7 linked regions of the Kluyveromyces lactis genome follow. The main gene of each other region encodes a partner of the protein of the gene in region 5 in a complex. Links are inferred from orthologs where the notes say so. Each region holds a gene or a part of one and is shown on either strand. Other genes may lie near its edges. The genes, in order: NUP1, POM34, NUP57, SEH1, POM152, NDC1 and NUP145.

Region 1 (3,958 bases), on a different chromosome or scaffold from region 5:
AATGTAAAGATGTCGGAAGGAATGATATCATGCAATAATTGTTACAATTGAGATGCAAAGCCTTTGTTTTCCTTTATTAGCCTCTTCTTCTTCTCCTACCGGGCATAGCAATTTTGCGCTGCGGTGGAAATGGTGCCCCTCCTTGAGGAGTTGAAGCCTGCGCATTGAATATGTCCGCTGGATTCTGCTGACCAGCGGAAAATATGGACGATGGATTCTGTTGCGGGGTTTGGGATCCAAATACTACAGAAGGACTTTGAGATGGTTGACCACCAAAATTAAAATTGGCAGCGGCTGAAGGATTAAATGTGTTTGTCTGCATAGAATTACCGAAACCGGTACCCAATGCTGGTACCTGGGGAGTGGAAGAAGCTGAGCTTCCGCCGAATGAAAAAGGTACATTAGGCTGATTGGAACTGGTTCCAAATGCAGGTGAACTGTTGGTAGTGCTTGGCCCACTTCCAGTAAAAGTAAATGGTTTTTGATTTTGTTGTGCAAAAGTAAATGTAGTTTGAGTAGGCTGCGTTACACTTATCTTATTCCCAGGTTGAACGACATTATCAAATGAGAATGGGACAGGAGGGTTGCTTCCACGAGCAGATCCAACATTTGATGAATCTGAAAACGGAGTCGGAGTAGTTTGTCTATTATTATTTTTAAACCCTGTCAAATCAAATTTGAGTCCGCTGACAGGCTGGCCACTGGTGTTCTGACTTGCAAACGAAGGAATTGCATTGGAAGCTTTTTCAATTGAGGGCTGCTGGATGGCAGAGGAACTTCCAAAAGAGAATGCAGGTTTCGAACTCATATCACCTTGAACAGGTTTCTTTGTGGTCCCGAACGAAAATGATGGTGCAGCAGCTTCTTTTGGGGTTGTATCAGAAGGTAGGGCTGCTGGGGTGCTACCAAAGGAGAATGCAGGTTTTACAGCAGTACTGACGGCATTTTTGGCTTCCTGCTTCTCTGTCGCGTTGTCTGCTGAAGGCTGTTGGTTGAGAGAAAATGCTGATGTATTCGAAGCTTGCCCAAAACTGAAAGGTTTAGCTTTTTCCTTCTCAATATTTTTTGACGAATCATTTCCTACAGGTTTACCACCAAAGCTGAATGATGGCAGCACTGGTGCTTCAGTTTTTGTACCATCTGGTCTCTTTGCGGCAGGTTCAGTACTACCACTGGAACCAAACTGAAATAGTGGTTTAGGTGTATTAGTTGATTGAGAGGTACTCAATGGGGTCAGATCTGGAGTAGATGATTTTCCTTTGTTGAAGCTAAACATAGGTTTTGACATTTCACTGACATTAGTTGGTTCGCCTGCATCTTTTTGGCTGCCAAAACTGAATGAAGGGGCGGGTTTAGCTATCTCTTTGCCTTCTGAAGATTTTCCAAAACTAAATGTAGGTATATTTGATATCCCAGTTGTATCCGCACCAGTGAAGCTGAACTTAGGGAGGCCGTCTTTAGCCAGATTTTCAACAGGTTCGGGGGCGGATTTCTCAAAGGGGTTTTTGGATGTTTCAGCTTTTTTGGTCTCTTTCTTGGTTTTTGATAAATCACCAAAGGTGAAAGAAGGAGCACCATCTGAGATTTTTGTGCCTCCATTGGCTGTAGCTGTGTTGTTTTTTTTTACCGCATCAAAAGAAAAAGCAGGTTTCGATGGTTCAGTTGATGTTTCCAGCGACTTAGAACTTGTGAAGGGAAATGGTTTAACAGTGTCCTCAGTAGAACTAAATTCTTTCTTTTTTCTTGGTAACTCTTCAGAATCCTGAGAAGGGGCCGTTAATTTCTGTTTATCATTGTTGAATAAATCCAATTTGGTATTTCCAAAAGATATATTTTTGGATACTGTTGGTTTGGTAGGTGTATCTGTGCTACCTGGGAAAATAGAAGTACTGTCTCTATTCATAAAGTCAAATCCAACACTTGGGCCGTTAGCGTTTAAAACTTTATCTTCTGATATTTTTTCCTTGACGATAGGTTTCAATGATAGTGTTGGTGCAACTACTTCTTGTGCTATCTTTGGATTTTTTTGCAATGTCTTTCCTTGTAATAACCTGCTTTGAACATCAGTTAAGCCAGATCCACTAGGCACTCCTGTTTGATCAAAAGTATTGACATGTTTCTTTGAAGAGGTACTCCTTTTTAGCAATGGATGTGGTAGTTTAGGAGATTCCAAATTCCCCATTGAGGCAGATACTGGTTTCGTCTTTTTGTCGTTTTTCAAGATATCATATTCTGATAAATCGTATTGAAAATCAGCTTTCCACTTCTTGGACTTTGGGTTATCGGAAACCCTATGATTTTTCTTGTCACTTTGTAGTTTGTTGACGAGTAAATTCTTTATAGTAGCATTTTTGCCGTCTGTTAAGCGATATAGGCCGTTCTCTGCTGATTGTAATTGTCTTTGTAAAAGTGGGAATTGCCGAGCACGGCGCAGTTGCTGCATCCTTAGTAGCCGCAATCTTTGTTTCGGTTCTATCGTTAGTACTGGAGGCCTTACACCATGTTCAGAATCCCCTTCATACAAGAAAATATTCGGTCTTTCATCATAATTGATATCATCAATGCCATTGTGATTTAACGGGTGATCGGTGATTTTTTCGTTATTCCAAACCAATTCCTCGTAACCGTCGAAGCCACGTTTTTGCCTCTTGATGACCACTGATCCTGAATCACTGATATCTTCATTGTGCGACCTTGTTATATTCGGATCTTCGCTATTCGTATCGTCATGCTTGGTAAATAATGATGCCAAAGTCGATGAAATCGATCTTTTGGGTTTTTCCAGATATGATGCCGACATTATTCTATAAAGTGGCCGTGATATGCGGCAAGTGAACCAGAGTCCAATTCAAGTTTTCGATTCCTATTTCTTTCGAAACTGCTGTTTCTGTAACTTTCTTGCGTATTAATAAAGGTATTATTCGATATTTGATAATTCGATATTTCAAGTCCTAACATTCCTAGCTGTTATTTTTTTCCTCTTACAGGGTTATAATCACTTTGTACGGTTTGACACATATTGACCTAAACTAACCAAGGCGTCAGTATAAGAGAGTCTAGCTAGGAGATGGACATAAATTTGCATTAGTTCCAAAACATCAATATGGGGCTCGACTATTATCCAAAATTTATTATAACGATTCTACATTATGAAAGTTTAAAGATTTGCCGTCCACTTAATACAAAAGTACCCTTTTTCGTTATTTTAGCTTTCAAGTTTTATATAGAACTCAAGTTTTGTTCATTTTTCTATACATAAGGCCTGAAAGTGACATGAGGGATCGAAAAGAACAAATTGATATATAAGTAAAGAAAAACTTAACGTTAAACTGCAAGAACGCACAGGATAGAACGTAGTGTGCATCAATGCCATGCTTAACAGTACAAGTGTTCTATTCTTGTGAAATTCAGATTATCACGTGACCGATTTCTCCCCATCCTGTCATACATTCGTCCCATCTTGTTTTTTTTTTTTTAGTTTGGGGAAACCTTGAAGAACGCGTCATGGAGGAAATCAAGTAAAAAGTGCAACACCGAATGTGGTTATGAGGCTTCGACACCACAGAACAGACCGCTTGATTCCGAAACGAAGAGGCCATATCGGTCAAGGAAAATCCCAAAAAACACCTTGAAGGGACAGAAGACTGAAACGAACACATAAGTCTAAATCCGAAAAGAAAAGAATCATTACACTAGAAGAAAATGGGCAGTGGAACATCGCACGATGCCTTCGACTACGAGTCATGAAGTGGGAGATCGATAAATGTCATAAATGTCATAAATGTGCTATTTTTATGGCTGAGCTCTGCTAATGGTATCATATAGTTTTTTTTTTTTTTTTGTAGTTTTCAATATTCCCTGATCGAATCTGGGTTGCCTCGAGAAAAATGTGATATTAGAATAGCGTATATCCACTGTTCAATTGAAGAAAACTGAAAAATTACAAACGAAGGCATTT
Region 2 (3,153 bases), about 150 kb from region 5:
CCGTCTGATGGGTGGAGATGTCATCAACATGAGTGTGATCCCTGAAGCGAAATTGGCTCGTGAATGTGAAATTCTATACCAGATGGTTTGTATGTCTACCGATTATGATGCATGGAGAGACGAAGAAGAACCAGTGTCTGTACAAACTGTTATCCGTAATTTACAGAACAATGCCAAAAATGCTAACCATTTGGCATCCCGGGTCATTTTAGAAATGGCAAAGCAACTTCCTGAATTTATGAACAACGGTGATGGTCTAAAGGATGCCATGAAGTACTCCATTTCAACAAAACCTGAAGCCATGTCTCAAGATGCCTTGGCCAAGCTAAAGTTTCTATTCCCAAACCATTGGTAACGCTGTAAATTTCTCTTCTATAAACTTTATAAACTATACGCGGTAGGTAGCCATGTAAGTAATAACATTCTTATCATAACTGCTATCAGAGGTTCGAAACCAAAAGAAGAAGAAAAAGAATCGTTCTCCGAAGTACGCATGCTTTTCAGCGCTTCTTCATCGCACTTGGTGAGTCCATCATATAAGTATACCGGTTGCTTGGAATATATCCGGGACGAGTGTCTGGCTGTGAGCGTGTCGATGTGAATAAAGTTGTAGGAGTATTGGAGACATTTGTTATGTGATCGACACCAAAGGCGTTTACTTTCTTCGGTTGTAAAGAGAAAGATACATGATTTTTTTTCACTTCTGCTTGCTGAAGGGTATTCAACTCACGCATTTTCATTGGAGTCTGTAAAGATTTGAATATGAAAGGCTTGTGGCTGGATTTTGATTCTGCTTCATTTAAGGATTTCACTTTAGAGTTACCTATATTAATTGAAGGATCAAAGGATCTACCATAGTCGGGGGTGCTTTCCACAACCCCTAACAAGCGTTTTTGATTCTCGGTTAGATGCAAATCTGATATGTCCGTATTTTGTGCTTTTATCAGCAAGTTCCAAAGACACGATGCAATGTTAAAAATGACAATAGTATGGAATATACTGGTTGCAAATTGCCAAGAAAGCATTTGGAACCAAAATGAATTGATGTTGGCATGTGGGTTAATCTTATAAACAACGTTTTTCAATACGAAAAGATACAGTTCGTCTCGAAGTTGGGATCCCCTTTTAGTGAATTGGAAGAATAATGACACGAATTTGTATATGAGATTCCAAATCATTGCCAACACTACATTAGTCAACAACCTTCTCATCTCCAACTCTTTATTAACCATACGAGATGTGAAAGCAGCCAACGCCGGGTTTTCGAAATCAGTCAATTTATCATATGCGGAATCTTCGGAAAAGTTCAAATCCGTTTGTTGTTTCTGTCCCACCGGTTCGTCCGGTAGCAGATCAGAATTTGTCACTGGTGCGGTATCTTGCTGTGTAGAATATGCCTGGTTACTTTTTCCTCGAAAAACAGGGGATGCGGTATGTGTATTAGTTGATGCTGAAGGTTTCGCGTCAAATCTGCCAGAGAACGCAGATGCAGCAAACACAGAGGAAGAATCTGACTTGGAAACATCAGTCTTGCTGGTAGGATCACTCAATACCTTGTGTTTATACAATGCAGGCGACTGTTTGATAGCTTTTTCCCTTAAGGATTGAAATTGCTGCTGGCTCAAAGGCCTATTGGGAGTCTGAAAAGTCTTGGCCGGTGTGCCAGGCGCAGAAATTCCATTATCCATTGCTACTCTCACCTTTTTCCTTTATATATCTTGATCCCTGTATTTACGGGGTAAACTCTCGATCAATTACCACAGTAAAAACACCACTAATATCAGGATATGAAACTTACCGTATCCAGGTAAAAACTGAACGATTCTTATTTATTAACATTGAAGAACTAGCTGTGTTTTTAGTAGTTAAACTAAGAAGTGAATCTTCAAGCCGGCCTCTATCTCTTTCAAGTGAAAAACATCTCGTTACCCGCACCATCTTGTGCCAGGGAAAAGAAAAAATTCTTTTTGCTTCGTTTGGTTCGTTCTTTAAGTTTTGATGTTCTGTTCAGCATGGAAAAACCAGAAACAGTCAACTTTTGCAGATTAAACAATTTTGAGAATAGAACATTGGTCATTGACTAACTCTCTTATTTTAACTGCAACTTAATTTTTTTTGGAGGCCATTTACAGAAGGGCAGTAAAGTCTTGAAAAGTACCGGGATTTGTCAGTGTACGGGTACTATATCAAGGGGCCAGTGGTTTCAGGGAGCCTGATTGGTTTGTGTATTTAGGTTTTTTTTGTTTGCTATCTTTCTTTGCTTAGATAGAAAGAAAGAACATATATTAATAACAGTATCAATCCGTTTGAAAAACCAATCTGATTAATATCGGTTATCCATTTTTTTTGGGCTCAGTGTGTGATTTTTGGTTTCTCTCACTCGCTCAGTGTCTCGATTTATTTATAGGTCGCTGTTGATTTTGTTAGGAATAAAAGTGATGGGATTCATTGCATCTTTATTGTGTGGTTCAAGCGATTCGGATAGCTCTAGGAAACAGAAGGGTAGGAATTCATCGTCAAGTAACAATAGTAATAAAGGTTCTAGTGGGTCAAGCTCGGAGAAAAGTAAGAGCAAGAATACGCTAAGTGCAAAGAAGAGTGGACGTCCAGGGGTTGCTGCGACTCATTCAAGACAATCAGAAATTCATACTACGTTATCCAATTCTACAGCCAAGATGCATCTGAAAAAGAAAAATGCGGCGAACAAGCATAGCTCAACTGTAGCGGCTGTTGCAAGTGCGCCTGTTGAGAAGAGTCCGCTGTCGAAGAATACGGCTGCTGTTAGTAATAACGATACTGATAGTGATGTCGTTGACGTTGACATGGTTGGAGAGGAAGATGACGATGTGGATGTAAAAGGGGATGAAAAGCAAACACTGTTGGTATATAACGCTGAATCTGATACAAGTACTGGCACAACTGCAGACACCGCAGTGTCTGCAACTCAGCCAACTGCAGAGGTCACGACCACGATTCACGAGACTGAACATACCAGTAGTGCGGATGACTCCGAGGGCATTCATAGTCAAGGCGTTAGCGATGTAGAAATGACAAATGGGGAGCCCGAAGATGGGGAACCTTTGGATTTGTCTCAATTGCAGCCAGATCAGGCCCATGCACCGGGGTGCAATACCTTGTTGTTGCCGAAGGCCG
Region 3 (3,663 bases), on a different chromosome or scaffold from region 5:
TTAGCTAAGAAGACAGAAATGAAACACAGAACTAGCACCATCAAGTATTAGTTGACACTGTTATAGTAGTGACAGTGCAGTGCATGCAATTGCCACAAGGTAAGGATGAGGTATTGGACCAAAAGTATCTAAACATTCTTGATTATAGATTTACTTATCTTAAGGAAAATTAGTCACGTGATGCGCAGTAATCATATCACCCTTATTCATCTGTATTGCACCATCAGTTTAGTAAGTGTGTTCCGAAAACTACCCATTCAAACACATGTATCGGTCTTTGCCCTTGTTATATACATGTATTTTTCTAACTATCAATTCTATTCAGCGTTCAAGATATTTAAAGGTACGAATCGATCCTTATATTCGAACGATCATTACCAGAAAAACGGAACAAGAGCGAAAAGAGAGGGAAAGTACTGTGTGAAACTACTCTCACCCAGCGATGACCGACCTAAATGATGATTTGGATCTACCAGTAACTAAAGAACTAAGCAGAGAGTTAGTTTCCAATTTTGTACGGAAGAATGGCTGCTTAGATATAGATAAGCTATTACTTGAGAATAACTTCCAATACGTATCGTTAGACGAACTCTCATATGAAGTATCTGCCTTGAAGCAATCAATGGAACAAACTATACTGGATGAAATCAATGACAATTATCCCGAGTACATGGAAATATGTGACAGGTTTAATACTAGTGACAATAACGAGGTGTTGAATAAGTTAAAACAAGTCTTGAATGATCTACAACAGTTCAACAAGCAATTACTCCAACTTTGTGATTCCTCAGTGGCTGAAACTAGAGAAAAAACAGTAACAGCATTATCCTACCTAAAATCGCTTGATAACCTATTTGGTAAACTGGACGATATCACAAAGCTATCAGAATCGCTAAAGATATGCCAGCAACTTGTATCATCCTTACAGTCTATGGTGCAGCTGAATATCGACGACGAGCTTTCCTTCACAGTGGCAAAGCAGCTCTCTACTATACTAATACGTTGTGACTACAGATTTAGACATTTGGAAGACAATGATTCCACCCTAATTACTCGAATGAGAAACGACTTTAAAAGTATTCTCGAGACCGCAAAGCCTTTAATTAAACCCGTTCTCGAGAAGCAGAACCAGCAAACTCAAACCATAAAAACTTAAATATATGATAAATGCGAACCCAATTCAAATAAAGTGAGATTCCACCCCCTAGGTGGAAGCGAGTCTACGCTATGAGTATCCTTACGTAAATGTGTATAACATCTCTGACTTTGAGCCTCATCTCATCATAATGAACGATCTTGAATTTTTCAGTTCTTCACAACAAAAGCATCAACAAACATCACAACTAACATTAAATCTATAAGAACGAACTGACAATATAGCAGGGCCAGCGTACTAACAGAACACTGTGAATATCGATAAGGTTCAATTTTCTGTCATCAATTAGCCATGTTTGGTGCAGTGAATTCGGGAAATAGTTCAATGAACAATGGCGGCGGTTTATTTGGTAACAAACCTGCTGCTGGAAACACAGGGTTCCAGTTTGGCGGTCAACAACAACAACAACAGCCACAGCAGCAGCCTGGTGGTGCTGGTAGCTTGTTCGGACAGAATAACAACTCGATAGGTAATACATCAAACACTGGAGGAGGTCTGTTCGGAAGTACACAGCAACAGCAGAAACCTTCTACTGGGGGTTTGTTTGGCAACACGAACTCTGCCGCGGGAGGAACAGGCGGGTTGTTCGGCCAATCCAATCAGCAGAATAATACCAATACTGGGTTGTTCGGCAATGCAAACTCTACAGGAATACAGCAGAATAATACTGCCCCAACCAGTGGAGGTTTGTTTGGGTCCAAACCGGCAGGTGGATTGTTTAATAACACACAGCAGTCCACCACTGGTATCCAAGGAAATCCCACTGGAGGTGGATTGTTTGGTAATAATAATGCGAACACAGGAAGTTCGGGTGGACTGTTTGGTAATTCCGGAAATACAAATACCAGCGCTACTTCTGGAGGTCTTTTCGGTGGAAACAGAACTGGGGGCCAATCCACAGGCGGACTTTTTGGCAATAACACTTCTAATAGCGGCACTACTGGAGGACTATTTGGATCCAAGCCTGTTGCGCCAGCTACTACATCTCTCTTTGGCCAAAATCAAACACAATCACAGCAGCAACAGCAACAACAGGGCCAGCAAGGTCAACAACCAGGGGGGGCATCCTTGTTTGGTTCAACGCCATCTACTACAATGCAACCGTCATTTGCATGGTCTAACACACAACAACAAGTACAGCCCCAGCAACAGTTGCCGTCGGTTCAGCAACCACAACAACAGCTACAAATTCAGCAACAACAGCAACAGCAACAAATATCTAATTATCCGCAACAAATCCAAGAACAAATTCTAAAGTGTAAGGAATCATGGGTGCCAAGTGAGCAAAGATCAAAACTTAAGACGTTTGTTTACAATAAATGTACGGAAACTGAAGCTATGTTGTATAATAAACCATTATCAATCTCGCAGGATGATTGGGATCAAGCGCTCATGAGTAAACCTGGTAATAATACTATTCCAATTAGACTACTAGGTTTTCAGGATCTCAATGATCGTAATCAATTACAAAAGCAGCATGTTGCACAGGCTAGAGTTCTTTTGGGCCAAATTTTGGAAAAGCTAAATCAAGTTAACACTAAGCATGATTTAGATACTCAGTCAAGGATAGCAAAAGCTGTTTCCCGTAACACCGTCATTGAAAATAGAATTCTCAAATTGGCTTCTCAGCTAGCCATATTGAAAAGCAAGAATTTACCATTGAGCCTACACGAAGAGGAGATGATGAACAAGTTTAATAAACTATTACAAGAGAGCAATGATCCAGCAGGTCTAGGGAAAAACAACGAACTTTGGGCAAGACTCTCTGTATTGAAAGAAAGAGCCAAAAATATAAGCGAGCAACTCGATAGCACTCTTGTTGTGATTAGCGAAAACGGCGGCAACTCGAACGGTAAGAAAAATAATCAAGACGAGGAACTAGAAGACCGGGTGAACAAGATAGCCGAAATTTTAAGTAATCAACAACGTGGTTTATGTTTCTTAAATGATGTTATAGAAAAGGATCAGAAACTTGTCGACGAAGTTCACACAAAGCTAAATAAGTGAACATCATCACCACATTTCTGATTCAAGAAATGTTATTAATCTCGAACAATTCAAATGCATGAAAAGAGAGCAGTTTCCTCAATAATTTTGTCTTGCTGACAAATGTTTATAAACTTGTGTACTTTATTCTAAGAGAAAGAACTTACTTACCGTGCATTATGTCAAGACATGACACTTTGATTTATAGGCCTGAAAATCCATGGAAAAGGGTTGATATCCTACTTTTTGTAGACTCCTTGAACTCTTTATCAGGTAATCTAAGCCAATGATTCATTTCGTTTGGTAGCTCCGTAAGATTTTGGAATAAACATGGGATAATTTGAATTGTAGGTTTATTCGATGGAAATTCAATAAACCTTTTACTATAGGAAAGTTCCCCCGTAAAATTGCCTTCAGGAGTTTTAAATCTCTCTGTATCCTCCAAAAATAACCACTTGAATAAGTCGCGCCTGTGGATGTCTTTAACTTTGCCAGATAACGTTCGGTAGTACTTTACCGGA
Region 4 (2,671 bases), about 940 kb from region 5:
AATACTTTTGCAGGCCAGCGGTTCCATTTGAACAATGCTAGTGAGACTCCGAGGAATGGGACGATCAATAAAAGTGAGAATAGGTGTGATTCACGAGCATGTCCGTTCACACCCATAGTTAAATACAACACATCATTAATCATAAATATTAGGCCTAGGACAATGCTCTGCCCAACTTCAAGTCCATTGACACCAGCCAATATATTAATTGAATTTGGACAGAAAATGGCGACCGAAGCCATATAGCAGTAATAGAAAGCGCCTAAATCAATGGATGTCTTGCTTGTACCAATTAACTCTTGTACAAACTTAGGGATCAAAACATGGGTAACGCTAAAATCAACATAGTAGACTACAAGTAATGGAATCGCAGCAATTGCTGGTAGGAAGAATTTATGTCTCCAGCGAAGATCAAACAAATCGTCAGCAGCACCTAGTAATATCGTGGATTCAAGACATAAAAGTGCACTTAAAAATTCACTTAACTTACTATGTGGGAATAGCTGTTCCTCCGTCGATTCTTGAGAAACCAGATCTCTATTTCCACCTCCAGAGGTTATCACCAAATATTTGTAAAACATGAAAGGAATCGAAAAGAACATGATAAACAAATACACTGTAGCAGATACAGATCCAATTGTTTCTGGAATCACTGGCCTACCAGGTTTACTCATATCTTTGCCAAATAAACCAATCTTGATGAAGGAATCACCTACTTGTGGGATCAATACATCAACTGCCACGTAGCCAATTACAGAAAACCCTACTGCAGATCCGATAGGAGATACATCTTTAAAATATACAATTATTGCAATAGCAAACAGTAGCAAAAAATAAGAAAGCATGGTTCATTCCCTGAGCTGGTACTGGCTATATATAAAGCTTCAGTAAGCACTTTTTTAGCTTAGCATTTAAAATGCCAAGCGCTTTCTTAAATTATTGTGTTTTGATTTTCGATATATATGAATCCTTTAAACATTGAACTTCGAACTTTTCGAAAACGAAAGCTAAAAGTTGCATGATAGAGGGAAAGAGAGTTGAGCTGAGTTGAGAGATATCTACACTTCACGGCTTTGAAGGTTGAAGTTATTCTATCGACCAATCTAGTGGTAAATCCGATAAAATCTTTTATCATCATGAAACCGTTTTTGACAGGACACTCAGACCTAGTGCACGATATTAGTTATGACTTTTACGGTCGTCGAGTCGCAACATGTTCCAGCGACCAACATATCAAGGTGTTCAAGCTAGACAAGGAAACGAATGAGTGGGAATTGAGCGAAAGTTGGAAGGCTCACGATAGCAGTATTGTGTCTCTTGATTGGGCCGCACCAGAATTTGGTCGTATCATCGCGAGTGTCTCATACGATAAGACTATCAAACTATGGGAGGAGGATCCAGATGCCCTTGAGTTATCCGGAAAGCGTTGGCAAAAACTTTGTACGTTGAACGATGCGACAGGACCGTTGTTCAGCGTAAAATTTGCTCCATCGCATTTGGGACTAAGGCTAGCTGCATTGGGGAATGATGGTAAGTTACGTCTTTATGATGCGTTAGAGTCTTCCGATCTTAGGTCATGGACCCTGACAAGCGAGATTACCGTCTTAAATACTCCACCTGCATCACATCTACAATCGGATTTTTGTCTGTCCTGGTGTCCCTCCAGATTTTCAACAGAAAGATTAGTTATCAGTGCCATGGATCAGGCAACTATCTACCAAAGAAACAAACAGGGAAAATTGGTCCCAGCAGGACATTTGAAGGGTCACACTGGATTAATCAGATCCATTGCGTGGGCACCATCAGTGGGCAGGTGGTACCAATTGATCGCTACGGGCTGCAAAGATGGGAAATTAAGAATATTCAAAGTAACCGAATCGCGTAACAACGGTACGAATATTATAAACGAAGAAAACGATAACAATGCAAACATAGAACGTGATGGCCCACCCATTGACAGCTCCGCCATTGATGCAGATGGATCAGTGGCTAACCTTCACGTCGAGCTGATCAGCGAACATTCAGACCATCAGGGCGAGGTATGGTCCGTATCTTGGAATCTCACAGGTACAATCCTAAGTAGTACCGGAGATGATGGTAAGATTCGGTTATGGAAAGCATCTTACTCGAACGAGTTCAGGTGTATGAGTGTGGTACAAGCGGCAAGGTGATTTATGTATATATCCCTTCATAATGTGATGTTAAAATGTATGTAATTATTGACCACGTGACCAGATATCATCAAGGGTTCGAGATTCAATCTAAACACTGACAAATAGAAACCTTATAGCTAAAAGGTACGCCACATTGGTGGTTTAAAGCCGTCTTCTCACCTGCTTGGAGTTTATCATGTACCGATCAATTCTAAGTTCTAAGCCCCAAATTGCACACATCCAGCCGTTGCTTTGTAATCACATGAAATACATTGCATCAGAAACGAACATTTCCGCATGCTTTGACACATAGCAATAAACACTGACAGTTTACTAATCTATAAATCTTATAGGATGCAGATATACCCGGTGTCATCATAAAATCTTATATGATATACCTACAGTACTGTTATAACGCCGTTACCAGAATGTACAGTTCTTCATCGTCCGGCCGATAAATCTGTCGTTCCGTTGCTGTTCCTGATTGTTGGTTCCGTTCCTTAGCACTTCTGCTTTCT
Region 5 (4,039 bases):
CATATTCTATCAAAAAGGGTGGTATGCCGTTTAGAGACATATCGATGGTTTCTTCAAACCCTTGGCAGACATCATTTTTAATGTAGTTGAAATCGTCCAGTTTTGAGATTCTGTTGTGCTCAATTAATGAGTACGTAGGTTTTTTGAGATAACTTACTTGGAAAGTATGGTTCGGATCTACGATCTTGCCAACACAACTCTGGTCACGAATTGAAGCCAATTTATACAAACCTTCCTTCATAACCTTTAAGGCCGGTTTATAGTTGGAACTGAAAGTCACCTCTTCAGTTTCGAGAACGTCTCCCTTGTTATCCAAATGGCTATAGGTGATTCTGAAAGGTCCTTCACCTGAAAGTTTTAATGGAAGTTCTGCGAATGAAGCTTCTTTAATGCTGACTTGGGAGGAAGATTCTGACACAGCAAAAGAAGCAGAAGGAATATCTCTTCTAACGGTAATTCTGGCATCAGTACCACTTAGACCTACCAAACATCCACTGGAATCCTTCACAGAAACTAAAGATAGGATATGATCACCACCAATGTTGAAATTAGGTGTTTCGATCTCATAGGAAAAACTTTGAATATTCTCTTTATTAAACGAAGTTCTCTTATTAGAAGAAGTCTCTACTAAATCATAGTTTAACGTGAAAGGAGGCTCACCACTGAATTTAATAGGTACCTTCGTTTTCCCTCCAAGACATAATTTTGTCTCTAGCTTCCCTGAAATCTTTGCACTAGGTTTCACTCTCATGCTGGTTTTGAATGTGTACTCTTTCGAATCTAAGGAGATAGGAGATGTGAAAAGTTCATTTGACAATTCGGTGAAAACAATTTCATAACTGCCTTCTGATGTGGGTGAATAAGTAAACTGGTTTCTGGTTCCTTGGGAGCTGAATTTTTTTGTATCATATAGTTTACGTTCTCCTTGCTCAGTTTTGTATATTTTTGTTTTGTAGTAAAAGGGAGGAACACCGGTAAAAGTAAGATCAAAATTCAAGCCGACCTGTCCAACACATTGATCTAATATTGGGGTTGATCTTACAGATAATTGAGGAGGAATTGGTTTAGTTATCAGAACATTAGATTTTCCAATCACGGCACCGTGGCAATACCTCGATTTTACTGAGAGCAAATTATAAGAACCTGGCTCATCAACTTTGAATTCTAATGTTTTATCATTGAATTGTTTTTCGAAGTATCTCACTTTGGAGTTGTTATCTTCATGGGATAACTGAACGATGAATGGAGCATCCTTGTTAAAATCGCCAGAGTCCAATTTGACTATTAAAGACCTTCTAACAGAACTGTCGGGATTCATTTTTTCATCCAAAGATACTCTTGGTAAGTCGTGCACGTAGAATCTGTGGATCAAATCATACTTTTCTCTTACTTGTGATGATAATGAGGAAAAATCAATGCTATTACCAAATCCATCCACAATTCTTTCGATAGAGTAAACATGTTCACCGTATTCTTTGGTTGAAGTTTCTAATGCGATATCTACAGGGTACGAACGAGCCCATTTTAAATCTTGGACATCTTTTTGACTGTAGAATTTTGAATTCGTTAGCAAAGGTGATTCAAAATATTCTGGTTGAAGTGATGAATCTTCTAGTACGTATCTTTGGCCATTGATTGTCTTAGTATAAGTCAATTTAAGAGGTGGAGCACCTTGTACCTGAATTGAAACCTCATCATTATCTCCAACACATCTATCATTTTCTCCCTTTCCGTTAATGGAAGCCAATGGGCAGTGAGGTAGCACTAATTGGGATTTGTATATTCTCAAATTGATATTATTAGTGTCTAGAACGGTTTTCAACTGGTAAAACCCGATTTTGTTAAGAGGTACAGTAAAGTAATGTATGTTACGATCAGTTTCTTCCTTTGAAATATCTGCCTTGAGTGGTTTTAAATCGTTCTTGGTGAAGTTCCACAGTTCACCTTCATTTGAGTATAGATCTCTGAACTCTAACTGGACTGTATTGATTGTGGATGATGAGTTGACTCTTATAGGTAGTTCAATGGCAGGACCAGATTGGTCCAGTGGTAGACAAAAAGACGAGTGGAAGGGATTCAAATATGCTGTATTTTCTGGCAAAATTTTAATGGTATGTGCACCTTTGAAGTGTTCTGCCGAATTCATAGCCTTTCTTGGGTTGACAGAGTCACCTGTTAAGGACAAGTCTCTGCTGTGATACTGTCTCCATAATGACAATAGAAGCGATACCAATGGGATACTTTGTTCACTGGAGATAAACAGTGTGAGGGTTGCGGATGAAATAATCTGCAAAAGCACTATCAGTGGTTTGAACTTTAATTTGGGTATTTTGAACGTGGGGAGACAGTAAAAGAACAAAGAGTCTATTACCAAATATTTTGAAATGAAGTTTAACCTTGAATTCGATAGAAAAATCCCAGATAATGGTATCCCACTCTTAAGTAGGATTAGATCGTATAGTTTGTAGCATTGAATGATAAAAAAAACGACGAAGGCTAATCTTCTCTGACTGGCTGCATCGAGAACTTCAGTAGAAATCAAAGGTAGCTCCTTAATCGATTCACTCGCTGGGCCATTCTTTGCTCTACTAGTGCTTGACTTCGATTTTCCTGTGTAATTGGAAAAACCGGATATACAAAATGGATCTTCTTTTGGTTTGTTGATCTCTTCATTTCTTCGATCGCTTATTCCTCCTCTGAACGAGTCTTTATCTCTATTTCCAACGTTCCTACGCCTACTATCACTCCACATCGATGGAGTATGTGTATAGAACCCATTTGTTCCGAAACTGGAATCCATTATCTAACTGTATATGCGTCTGAACTTATCTCAGCTTCCCTTTTCAACAGAATATGATTCTAAAGTGCCAATACGCAGAAGTTTAATAGAAAAAAATGGGATCACGCATACAACTTATCACTTAGTCGCTCGCTTTTTAATTGACGATTGGTATGTAACGGGTGCCTGGATCGCGATTGCTTGTTGATCCTAGCCTGCATCTGCATACATGAGAAGACCAAACATAAGCTTAAAGTTTGAACTTCTGTTTGTTGACAAGATCTGAATCGGATATATCATTATGTACGATTCAGGTTTCGCTTCTGATCAAGGTACAATGGTCAAGGACGCAGCAACTCTATATGATCTGCCACTACGTTGTGGTCTTAATATTCGAATTATAGCCTCTTGAATTCTTCGCCTATCCAGAATTACCAGTGAGATCGTTTGCATCGATATTATAATGTCGATTCCGTTGCATAGCTCCATTGCTTACGTCAAATTCCCGTCAAATTCCCGTCATCCTCTCATAAAACCCTAGTCAGAAGCAAGGAGGACATAAATGCTAGTAAGCAAATGTCTTTACCCCATCTGGCTAATGAATCCTGAATTAGGTAAGTTTTATCATGACCTCATCTGATAAAAACCTCGGCAAATTTGAATGCCAGATTCAGTAATAGTAATGATAGCTAAGGGTCCTAACATATATAATATATATATTTACCAGAGAGAAAAAGAATGTTTTGGTTGGAATCGAGATACTTCCATTGTCCAGGATCGTCTCCTTTTTTGAATCACAACTGGAGCACTGGAACTTATTTGTTTTCAACACCATATACAGCTCTCACGTTCGTCGTATATAACATTACAGAGGTGCATTTGAATCTCCTTCTATAAAAGAAGTTTAGAAATTTAAGGTTTTGATTTATTTGATTTGCACTCTTACAAATAAGTCATTTACGAGAAGAGAGTTTGCTAAAACACGATACGTTAGAATCTGTAAGAGTTTGAGGCGCTAGCTCAATAGAGGTCAGATATTCTGTGTTGTAAATTGGTGATAGTTCTGCTGTTTTCATTCTCTGTTTATTGGAATTTAGATAAAGGAACGAAAGACGGTAATTTATTCTTGGCACGTTACTGTTGGTACTTAAAGATTATCTAAACTGTGAAACTGCCATGCTTATACTATCTCGTGTATTCGAGAGGAACCATGTTGAAATTTTGAGGAAGTTTATGAAGTTTGTCGGACCTGGGATCATG
Region 6 (3,551 bases), on a different chromosome or scaffold from region 5:
GTTCATTTTCCACGGTTCCATACCCAATATCCTCTCTGAACGTTCCATCGGCTAACGAAACACGAACAATAGCGGTGCATCCAATACTAAATCGACCTTGCCTTTCGTCAAGGAAATCTATAGTGACATTTTTAACCTCCGTAGACCATCCGTCATACCCAAAAATCTGGTTTGCTAGATTGATTGCTTTCCAGCCTTCGATATATGCTACTCTACTGGATCCAAATCCTACTCTCTTTGAAATATATTCTGGTCCTAGCTTCTTATCTAACTTCGTTTGAATGTCATCTTTACCATTCTTGCCACTTCCTGTATCCTCCATATCTAACAAACTGCAAAAAGGAAAATTGATGCGAGTCGCACTAATATACCAATCCACAAAATCTTCTACCAGTTAAAGACACAAGCAAGGTGGTATCCTGTCCAATTCAACAGCGCAAAATCGTTAACTGTTTGACCTAGTTTGTTTAAGTTTTAGTTTATCAATACAGTAAATTTGAAAAAAGTAAACAGAGCAGTAGCTTAAATCACGTAAACTTGAAAAAGATCTGTTTCTATCGGTATTAAAAGACGCGAGAGCCATGTAAATTGAAAGGAGTTTTGAAAGGATGGCAATGAAACTTAACATTATCATTATAGGATTGGCAGTACCTGTGCTGTCATAGAAGTACTTACATTGGTCATGAAAGTGGCGACGCAAATCATTCTAATATTTTCAGTACTCTATGAGTGACCTTGTATATATTTGTATATATCTTTTGGACAAGAATATCAACTTTTAAGCGTTAAAGTTGACACGAGACCATTGTTACAAGAAAGAGAAAGAGAATATGACACATATTTAGTTGATTTACTTATTTACATGTAACAACTGTTTACGATATCATCAGGTTCGCGTTTAGCGTCTATATGTTGAGACTGACCTCACTGACAAGGAGGTGATTGTCTTTAGTTTCGAGTTACCATGCAAATCAACTATGACATTGGCATAAGAGGGTTACCCGAATATCTAATTTTTTTATGACGCCTGATCTCTAGATCACAACCTGTTAAGAACTTAAAATGCTTGAGATGATATACAAATAAATAATATAAGTAACTCGGAAGGTAATTGATTGTCCTAAAGTCCAATTGACCTTTGTCTGTTTTAAGCATCTAAAATTACTCAGCTTATTGCTATACAGGCTGTACTTTTACCTGTGTTCATCTTTGATTGGTTTGTTTTCATTGATGTCTTACGTGCAGAGTTTAGGACCGGTTGCACCGCAACTGCGTGATTCTCGTTTTACTTACCATCGGATATTCAGTGGGGTATGCAAGAGCAGGTTTAATAATTTCGCCAGGGGTTTACTCTTCAAAACAGCGGTACTTGTCGGTTTAATTACAACCATTACGACACAATGGGAGTTGTCGAAATCTCAGAAATTACTGTTATGGCCAGTAAAAATATTATCTTTCTATGTTGCAATGTTGATGCTAATTATTACCAGGAAAAACTATCTTCATGTCAATTACCTTGGATATACGAGCTGGATAAGCGCATCATATGGCCAATTAGTCTCCCGTAAATGGATCACGTACCTTTTAGTTTACGTTGTGAGCGCATTCTTCCTTTCTTTGACATTTTCCTGTTGCTTTTTCACTCCAGGTACTGGTTCAAGAAAGCATTCACAGCATTACGAATTTTGTTGTCAGTTTATGGTACCTTTTTTGTATTCCATCCAACATGTACTTTTAGATCTTGACAGACTTACTTTCAACTACGGTGCTCAACATCAACATCCTCAGAAGTTTATGGCTTCAAGAATCCATGATTCATTTTTGAAGTGTCTTGTGTTAACTGCAATACTCTTTCTAATTACTCCAATTCTATTAAAGCTTTTATTCGGACATCTAGGCTCTGGTATATGGTCCCATATTAGGATTTGTTGTATATGCTTGTTAATCTTGCAAACATGGGACTTTACAAACATTGGCTTCGACGCCTTTCTATCAATTGGTTGCTTGCATAAAGGTAAACCAATCTCTTCGTTATCTCCAGCTTCAATGGAGACATTGATCACTGGGTTGAGATCAGAAAAATTATTTGTTAAACTTACTGCATTCCAAGAGCTGGCCTACAGAGCCACTTGTGCAAATGTGGAGTTGAGGCTCCCAATTTACCACAATACCTATAGAAATAGCTTGATCTGGCCCGGTATACTTAGAGAATGTATGATTGTTATTCAAGAAACCAACTATAACGTATCCGATTTCTTGCTTACATTGAAGAAAGAGATTGATCCCCAGCCTACAAAACCATCTTTCCCTATCAATAGATCGGTAGATCATTTATTCGGTACCAACCATACTGTCAGAAAACAAAATAATGATGAGGATTCCAGATTACCTGGTGCTCCTCCTACTGAACAAATAAATTCGGATCTACCATCAATGGCTTCACATAGAATCGTTTTAGAGGACAGCAATGTTTTCAAAAACAACGATACCCAAAGAAGTCCGAATCCTCCGAGATTTATCGACTCATACAAACAAGCAATTTTTACCAGACAACCTACAGTACTTTCTGTTTTGACTGATCTTTGGAATTGGATACAGAGAAGAATCAGTCAGTACTTTTTCACCATCGATTCAACTGATAACACGAACAAGAAGCTCTCATTGTTTGAACTTTACCATATATCAAAAGTAAGGGAAGCTGAGAAGTTGTGTCCTGTGCCAGTATGCTATGCCGAGTGTGTGTATTCGATGATGGGTTTTATAGTAAATTCTGTGGATGAAGATCCCAAAGGAGCTGTCGTATCTTCAGTCGGCGAAGTATTAAAAATTTTGGAAAGATCTATTGGCTCTTTAGGTTCGTTTACTGAATTAATATTGGATGGAAAACAAGAAAAGGATTTGAATGATGTCATAAGTGTGTTGTATGACTTATGTATCAATGCATTTTTGGAAATAGTTTTGAAGTATGACACTCTCCTTAACGATGTTTATTTGGACGAAGATGTCGTGAAGTTAACACAGTGGTTGCAAAAAATGTCACAAGATATTTAAACATAGCTTGGCATCAATTGGATTATTCCCAACAGAAGCATGTTACTCTAATAATATTCAAAAGTTATATTGCTTTCATTATAAAAGAGAAGAAATCTACCCCAAACTTCTGGTATGTTATAGGAAGATGTTACATGTACTGAACAAGCGAGCGGAGAATACTTGCTTCTTATTCCAGAAGTCGGAATTATTCATGAAATGTTTTTATTTTCCATTAACCTTCACTAGATCATAATGACCATTGAGGTTAGTATTTGAGTTACAGCAGAACTTTTGTTATAACAAACTTATTTTAGCATTACGTATGAATAAAATACAAACCAAAGCATACAAACGTTATCTTCATTTTTACAAAAAGGTCATTACGTATTTAAAAAGACTTTTTCCATCGGTTTATCAATTCATCGATCCGCACTAGCTTTTCGTGCACAATTAACGTTTCTCGCCAACCGTAAGTCTTATAAATTTAATAGCAACGTCTGTAGTATCTGCTCAAGAAG
Region 7 (4,243 bases), on a different chromosome or scaffold from region 5:
ATAAAAGAGTATTTTGAGGCAGATACTGATACCCGTTATGCTATTAACGAAAAGTTAGAATTAGTAACCATAATGGCTAGATTACAATCTGAAAAAGTCTGGTTTGAGTGGAGATCACAACATTTGAAAGGAATTAAAACAGTCCTGGAAGAAAATATAGCTATCTTGGTGGATGAAAATGCCCAGATCATGAAATACATGAATGAAATAAATGACGTGAAAATAAGAGTTAGTGACATCAAACAGGTGTTAATGAAAGAACTTGATGTTCTTCGGCAGCACAACGATGTTTTTAGTAACAAGAAAGAGAACATAACGACTCTCCTGAAAGTGAACAAATTGAAAGGAGACTTGAGGGAGAACATGCTAAAGGTGTCAGACTTGAACCAGCTGACCACTAAAAAAGATCAACTTACCCAAAAAATACAAGATGCAAAATTGGAGATGAGTAAAGTGAACGAAGAGATTGCTCAACTTCGACAGGACTTGAAACAAAGCAAAGTTTGCACAGAATATGATGTGGCAAAGCTTAAACTAGTCCATCAGCTTTACCAAAGCATTTCTGGTATAAAGTTCAGAAAGTTAGTTGGTCCAGTCCTATCTGTATCATTACATGACGACAAAGTTATTGTGACAGCTGATCTTTCAAAAATTGATCAACCGTCATGTATTTCATTCAGTATTAGAGAAGAACGAATAGACCAATTTGAAAGAGAATTTATAAACTGTTGGATCAACTCTTGCCAGCGAACCTTCATAAATGGACTACAGTGCATATCAAGTTTGCAACGTCAACTGATAGATCTTTCAATTGTCATTTCAGAATTCAAAAAATTAAAACTCGTATTCCCGGCAACCGTCAATGCCCCATCACAGAATTCTCAGATCAAATATGTCACATTCCAGCATTTGGACTATAAATATCATTGCAAAGTAGCCCTTTCTTTGCCTATGGAAAGGTTTATTGATTTGATATGTCACTCTAAAAATGCGACCATCAATGTTAATATTATCTATGGCGAAGAAAAAACAGCAAGAAATCTAACGTCTAATCTCATAAAGAAATATGAAAAGGTATTTAAATGGCTCTCCAATTGTAATATAGCTCTTTGATATGGATATCCGAGCTTTTGTAGCGCAAGTTTTAGGCATTACGCAGTATATAGTTTCGTACGATATTTCTTTAAATTTCTCTCGAATGGCAATATTCCAAAAAATTGTTATTCTATAACATTTAAACAGTAAGATGAGTGTAAACAAAACACCTTTTGAACTCTAACAAGTGCACTACTTGGCTATCATTGATCGCAGAGCTTCTAAAAACCAATTCCATAGCTGGTGTTCATTGCTGCAGACGAAATTTCTCAGTTTTTTGTTACTGCTGTCATTTTTGAATCTGTACAGTTTAAACATCATCATCATAAATTCAACAACAAGTTGATTATGTTTGGTAATAACAAAGCGCCTGGTTCGTTATTCGGCAACGCGAACACCTCAACACCTACAACTTCTACACCAGCGAACAATGGGGTTTTGAATGGAAAACCCAATACTGGCACATTGTTTAGTGCTAATACACTCTCCACGCCGAGCCCTGGAAACCCAACAGGATTTGGCAATGCTCAGAACAACAACAACAAGCCTGGGTTGAATCTTTTTGGAAACAACAATGCTTCCCAGAATACACCACAGACGAATTCTCTATTCCAGCCTAATAACGCCGCTGCATCAACGCCCAACACATCATTATTTTCTGGCCCAGGGTCGAATGCCCAGCAGAACAATGGTGCTGGCAAGCTATTCGGAAATTCTGGTGGACAACAGACAGCTACTGGTATCTCATTCGGAAATAACCCCAGTGCGACAACAAACAATACGTTCCAATCAAACGGATTAAATACGCAACAGAGTGGTGGTTTATTTGGTAATAAATCAAACAATGGTGGGTCACTTTTCGGAAATACTCCATCGCAAACTAATAGTCTATTTTCTAATAATACCACGAACACGGCGTCAACAGTCCCAAAGACTTCACTGTTTGGAAATTCATCAACACAAGGTTCAGGGAGCTTATTCTCGTCCAGCAAACCAACTACAAATTCAACAGGCTTGTTCAATGTTTCTCAACTACAACAGCCACAGCAACCTGGCCAACCCCCAACGAACAACCCATACGGTTTGCAATTAAGTCCAAATCCTGTGCTGTCAATGCCAGAATCTATTACTACATCCCTGAGTAACGAGAGAAAGCCTGTCTCAGACTCGAAACAAAATAGAAAATTTTCAACTGCATCATCAGTGATCAGCAACAATATATTACCTCCCACAGGCAATTCAACACTGATAGGGAAGCTAACTTCAAGACTTAAGAATTTGAAGAGCAGAGAAACAACACATGGTTTGTTCTCCCCATCAAATAAAAACTTAGCCCAACAGGATACTTTCTCGGCACTTTCAAGAGATGAGAGTAAGGAAAAAGGGAAGAATATTAACAATAAGACAAACTCACTGGCTTCTTATTTTAACCAGGACGTTTCAAGCATGAAAAAATTAACCATTGATACAGACAGAAGCGCTGCCAAAAAGATGAAACTCTTTAACGGTCACTCTTCCGCTACCATAATGAAAGATATGGACGAGAAAGATCATAAGATTAGTATACCAAGGAATGATAAACTTCTTTTTTCAGCACATCCTTCAGAAACTAGTCCAACAGAGCCAACTTCGGAAGTCTGTCTGGATGAAGAACACAAAATAACGAATAAAGCAACTGACTATTGGTGCTCACCTACTATCGAACAATTAGAGCAACTTACGGAAAACCAGCTCACGGTTGTGCCCAATTTTGTGATTGGTCGCAAAAACTTTGGTTCCATCAGTTTTGACTATGAAGTTGACTTAACTGCATTTATGGATGATTTTGAAGAACTATTCGGAAGAACAATAATTTTTAATGAGAATAGAACCGTGGAAGTCTATCCTGATACCGAAAATAAACCGGATGTTGGTTATGGTGTCAATGTACCTGCTACAATAACTTTGGAAAATGTTTATCCGATCGATAAAAAAACAAAAGAACCCATTAAAGACAACTCGAAAATTGCTGAAGTTCAATATTTTGTCAAGCGTTTAAGGAATATGAAAGAAATGGAATTCATTTCATATAACCCATTTGGTGGAATTTGGACTTTTAGAGTTAAACATTTCAGTGTTTGGGGAATGGTCAATGAAGAAGATATGGAGGTGGATGCTGAAGAAGCAGAAAGAATAAACGCCGAGGAAATAAGAGACAGACCTCTGGCCTTTCCCAAGCGTCGCCACAGTGTGAAGAAGTCTAGCACGTCCCTTGAAGCGGAGGTACCAAGCAATGCAGACCTCACAGCAGCAGAGGCTCTTGCAATGGAGAAAGAAGTACTAGATTTGGTTCCAGTACTATCCGACTCTGTTGACCAAGACATGTCACTTATTATCAAGGAAAAACCTTACGAACCTTCTGATTTAGACGAAGATGATTTGAATATCCTCGAGGCTGCACCTAAACTTGTTACATCATCGAACTGGTTGCAACAATTACAATTAGCAGGTACTTCCAAACAGTCTGTGTATTCCAAGCCACTTTTACTCAAAAACACGCAAGGTAATTCTTTGGACGATATCTTGTTCCCTTCATTTAAGAAAGATTTATTGACATACCAATCTGTTAAAAGAGAAAGAAGAATCAACTCACATATGTGGTTTGCGAAGTTTAATATTAACGGGCAATTATTGCTCAAAGATCCATCACAGTTGTCAGGCTGTAAGCAGATCGTGTTTCAGTCCAACTTGCCAATAAATAAATCTTCTTTTGACAATGTGTTCGCCTCTTATCTGAACACATCCATAGTCAACTCCAGACCAAATGGTTATCCTCTTGTTGGGAAATGTTCCTTACAGTTCGATAATCTTGCTTCTGCATATTCTGATGTCCCAAATGAAGACAAAATATTGAAGTTAGCATCCATTTTGTTTGATCCTCTTTCCCTTCCATACGCTGTCAATTCCCCAGAAGTTGAAAAAGTTCTTATTAAAAAACAACGGCATGCAAAGCTCTGTGGATGGATAGTCGATGAAACAAGGGCTGAGATTGATTCTATGCTATCCACTGCTTCTGATATTCAGAAAATACTTCTTTTCCTCTCTGTCAACGACATTGTAAATGCTTCAAAGACGGCTATAATTTCCAAAAACAAACATTTATCTGTTT

What was found.
Region 1: POM152 (region 5) and NUP1 share a complex: the UniProt entries of both Saccharomyces cerevisiae proteins name them as parts of the nuclear pore complex. The link is inferred for Kluyveromyces lactis from reciprocal best matches to the Saccharomyces cerevisiae genes POM152 and NUP1.
Region 2: POM152 (region 5) and POM34 share a complex: the UniProt entries of both Saccharomyces cerevisiae proteins name them as parts of the nuclear pore complex. The link is inferred for Kluyveromyces lactis from reciprocal best matches to the Saccharomyces cerevisiae genes POM152 and POM34.
Region 3: POM152 (region 5) and NUP57 share a complex: the UniProt entries of both Saccharomyces cerevisiae proteins name them as parts of the nuclear pore complex. The link is inferred for Kluyveromyces lactis from reciprocal best matches to the Saccharomyces cerevisiae genes POM152 and NUP57.
Region 4: POM152 (region 5) and SEH1 share a complex: the UniProt entries of both Saccharomyces cerevisiae proteins name them as parts of the nuclear pore complex. The link is inferred for Kluyveromyces lactis from reciprocal best matches to the Saccharomyces cerevisiae genes POM152 and SEH1.
Region 6: POM152 (region 5) and NDC1 share a complex: the UniProt entries of both Saccharomyces cerevisiae proteins name them as parts of the nuclear pore complex. The link is inferred for Kluyveromyces lactis from reciprocal best matches to the Saccharomyces cerevisiae genes POM152 and NDC1.
Region 7: POM152 (region 5) and NUP145 share a complex: the UniProt entries of both Saccharomyces cerevisiae proteins name them as parts of the nuclear pore complex. The link is inferred for Kluyveromyces lactis from reciprocal best matches to the Saccharomyces cerevisiae genes POM152 and NUP145.

Annotation. Positions count from the first base shown.
Region 1 is NC_006039.1:1,148,553-1,152,510, reverse strand, and holds NUP1 (FG-nucleoporin NUP1), read right to left. Parts: upstream 2,801-3,958; coding exon 77-2,800; downstream 1-76. UniProt on the Saccharomyces cerevisiae protein: Functions as a component of the nuclear pore complex (NPC).
Region 2 is NC_006042.1:1,442,090-1,445,242, reverse strand, and holds POM34 (Pom34p), read right to left. Parts: upstream 1,689-3,153; coding exon 501-1,688; downstream 1-500. Other genes in the region: MEU1 (S-methyl-5-thioadenosine phosphorylase), read left to right, coding at 1-355; PSR1 (phosphatase), read left to right, coding at 2,439-3,153. UniProt on the Saccharomyces cerevisiae protein: Functions as a component of the nuclear pore complex (NPC).
Region 3 is NC_006038.1:975,810-979,472, forward strand, and holds NUP57 (FG-nucleoporin NUP57), read left to right. Parts: upstream 1-1,447; coding exon 1,448-3,163; downstream 3,164-3,663. Other genes in the region: Golgi transport complex subunit COG2, read left to right, coding at 443-1,156; MSS18 (Mss18p), read right to left, coding at 3,345-3,663. UniProt on the Saccharomyces cerevisiae protein: Functions as a component of the nuclear pore complex (NPC).
Region 4 is NC_006042.1:649,975-652,645, reverse strand, and holds SEH1 (Seh1p), read left to right. Parts: upstream 1-1,136; coding exon 1,137-2,171; downstream 2,172-2,671. Other genes in the region: ALG7 (UDP-N-acetylglucosamine--dolichyl-phosphate N-acetylglucosaminephosphotransferase), read right to left, coding at 1-845. UniProt on the Saccharomyces cerevisiae protein: Functions as a component of the nuclear pore complex (NPC).
Region 5 is NC_006042.1:1,588,323-1,592,361, forward strand, and holds the start of POM152 (Pom152p), read right to left. Parts: upstream 2,801-4,039; coding exon 1-2,800. Other genes in the region: putative divalent metal ion transporter SMF3, read left to right, coding at 3,956-4,039. UniProt on the Saccharomyces cerevisiae protein: Functions as a component of the nuclear pore complex (NPC).
Region 6 is NC_006038.1:139,184-142,734, reverse strand, and holds NDC1 (Ndc1p), read left to right. Parts: upstream 1-1,230; coding exon 1,231-3,051; downstream 3,052-3,551. Other genes in the region: recombinase RAD52, read right to left, coding at 1-322. UniProt on the Saccharomyces cerevisiae protein: Functions as a component of the nuclear pore complex (NPC) and the spindle pole body (SPB), probably by playing a key role in de novo assembly and insertion of both structures in the nuclear envelope.
Region 7 is NC_006041.1:1,686,104-1,690,346, forward strand, and holds the start of NUP145 (nucleocytoplasmic transporter NUP145), read left to right. Parts: upstream 1-1,443; coding exon 1,444-4,243. Other genes in the region: kinetochore-microtubule binding complex subunit SPC105, read left to right, coding at 1-1,113. UniProt on the Saccharomyces cerevisiae protein: Functions as a component of the nuclear pore complex (NPC).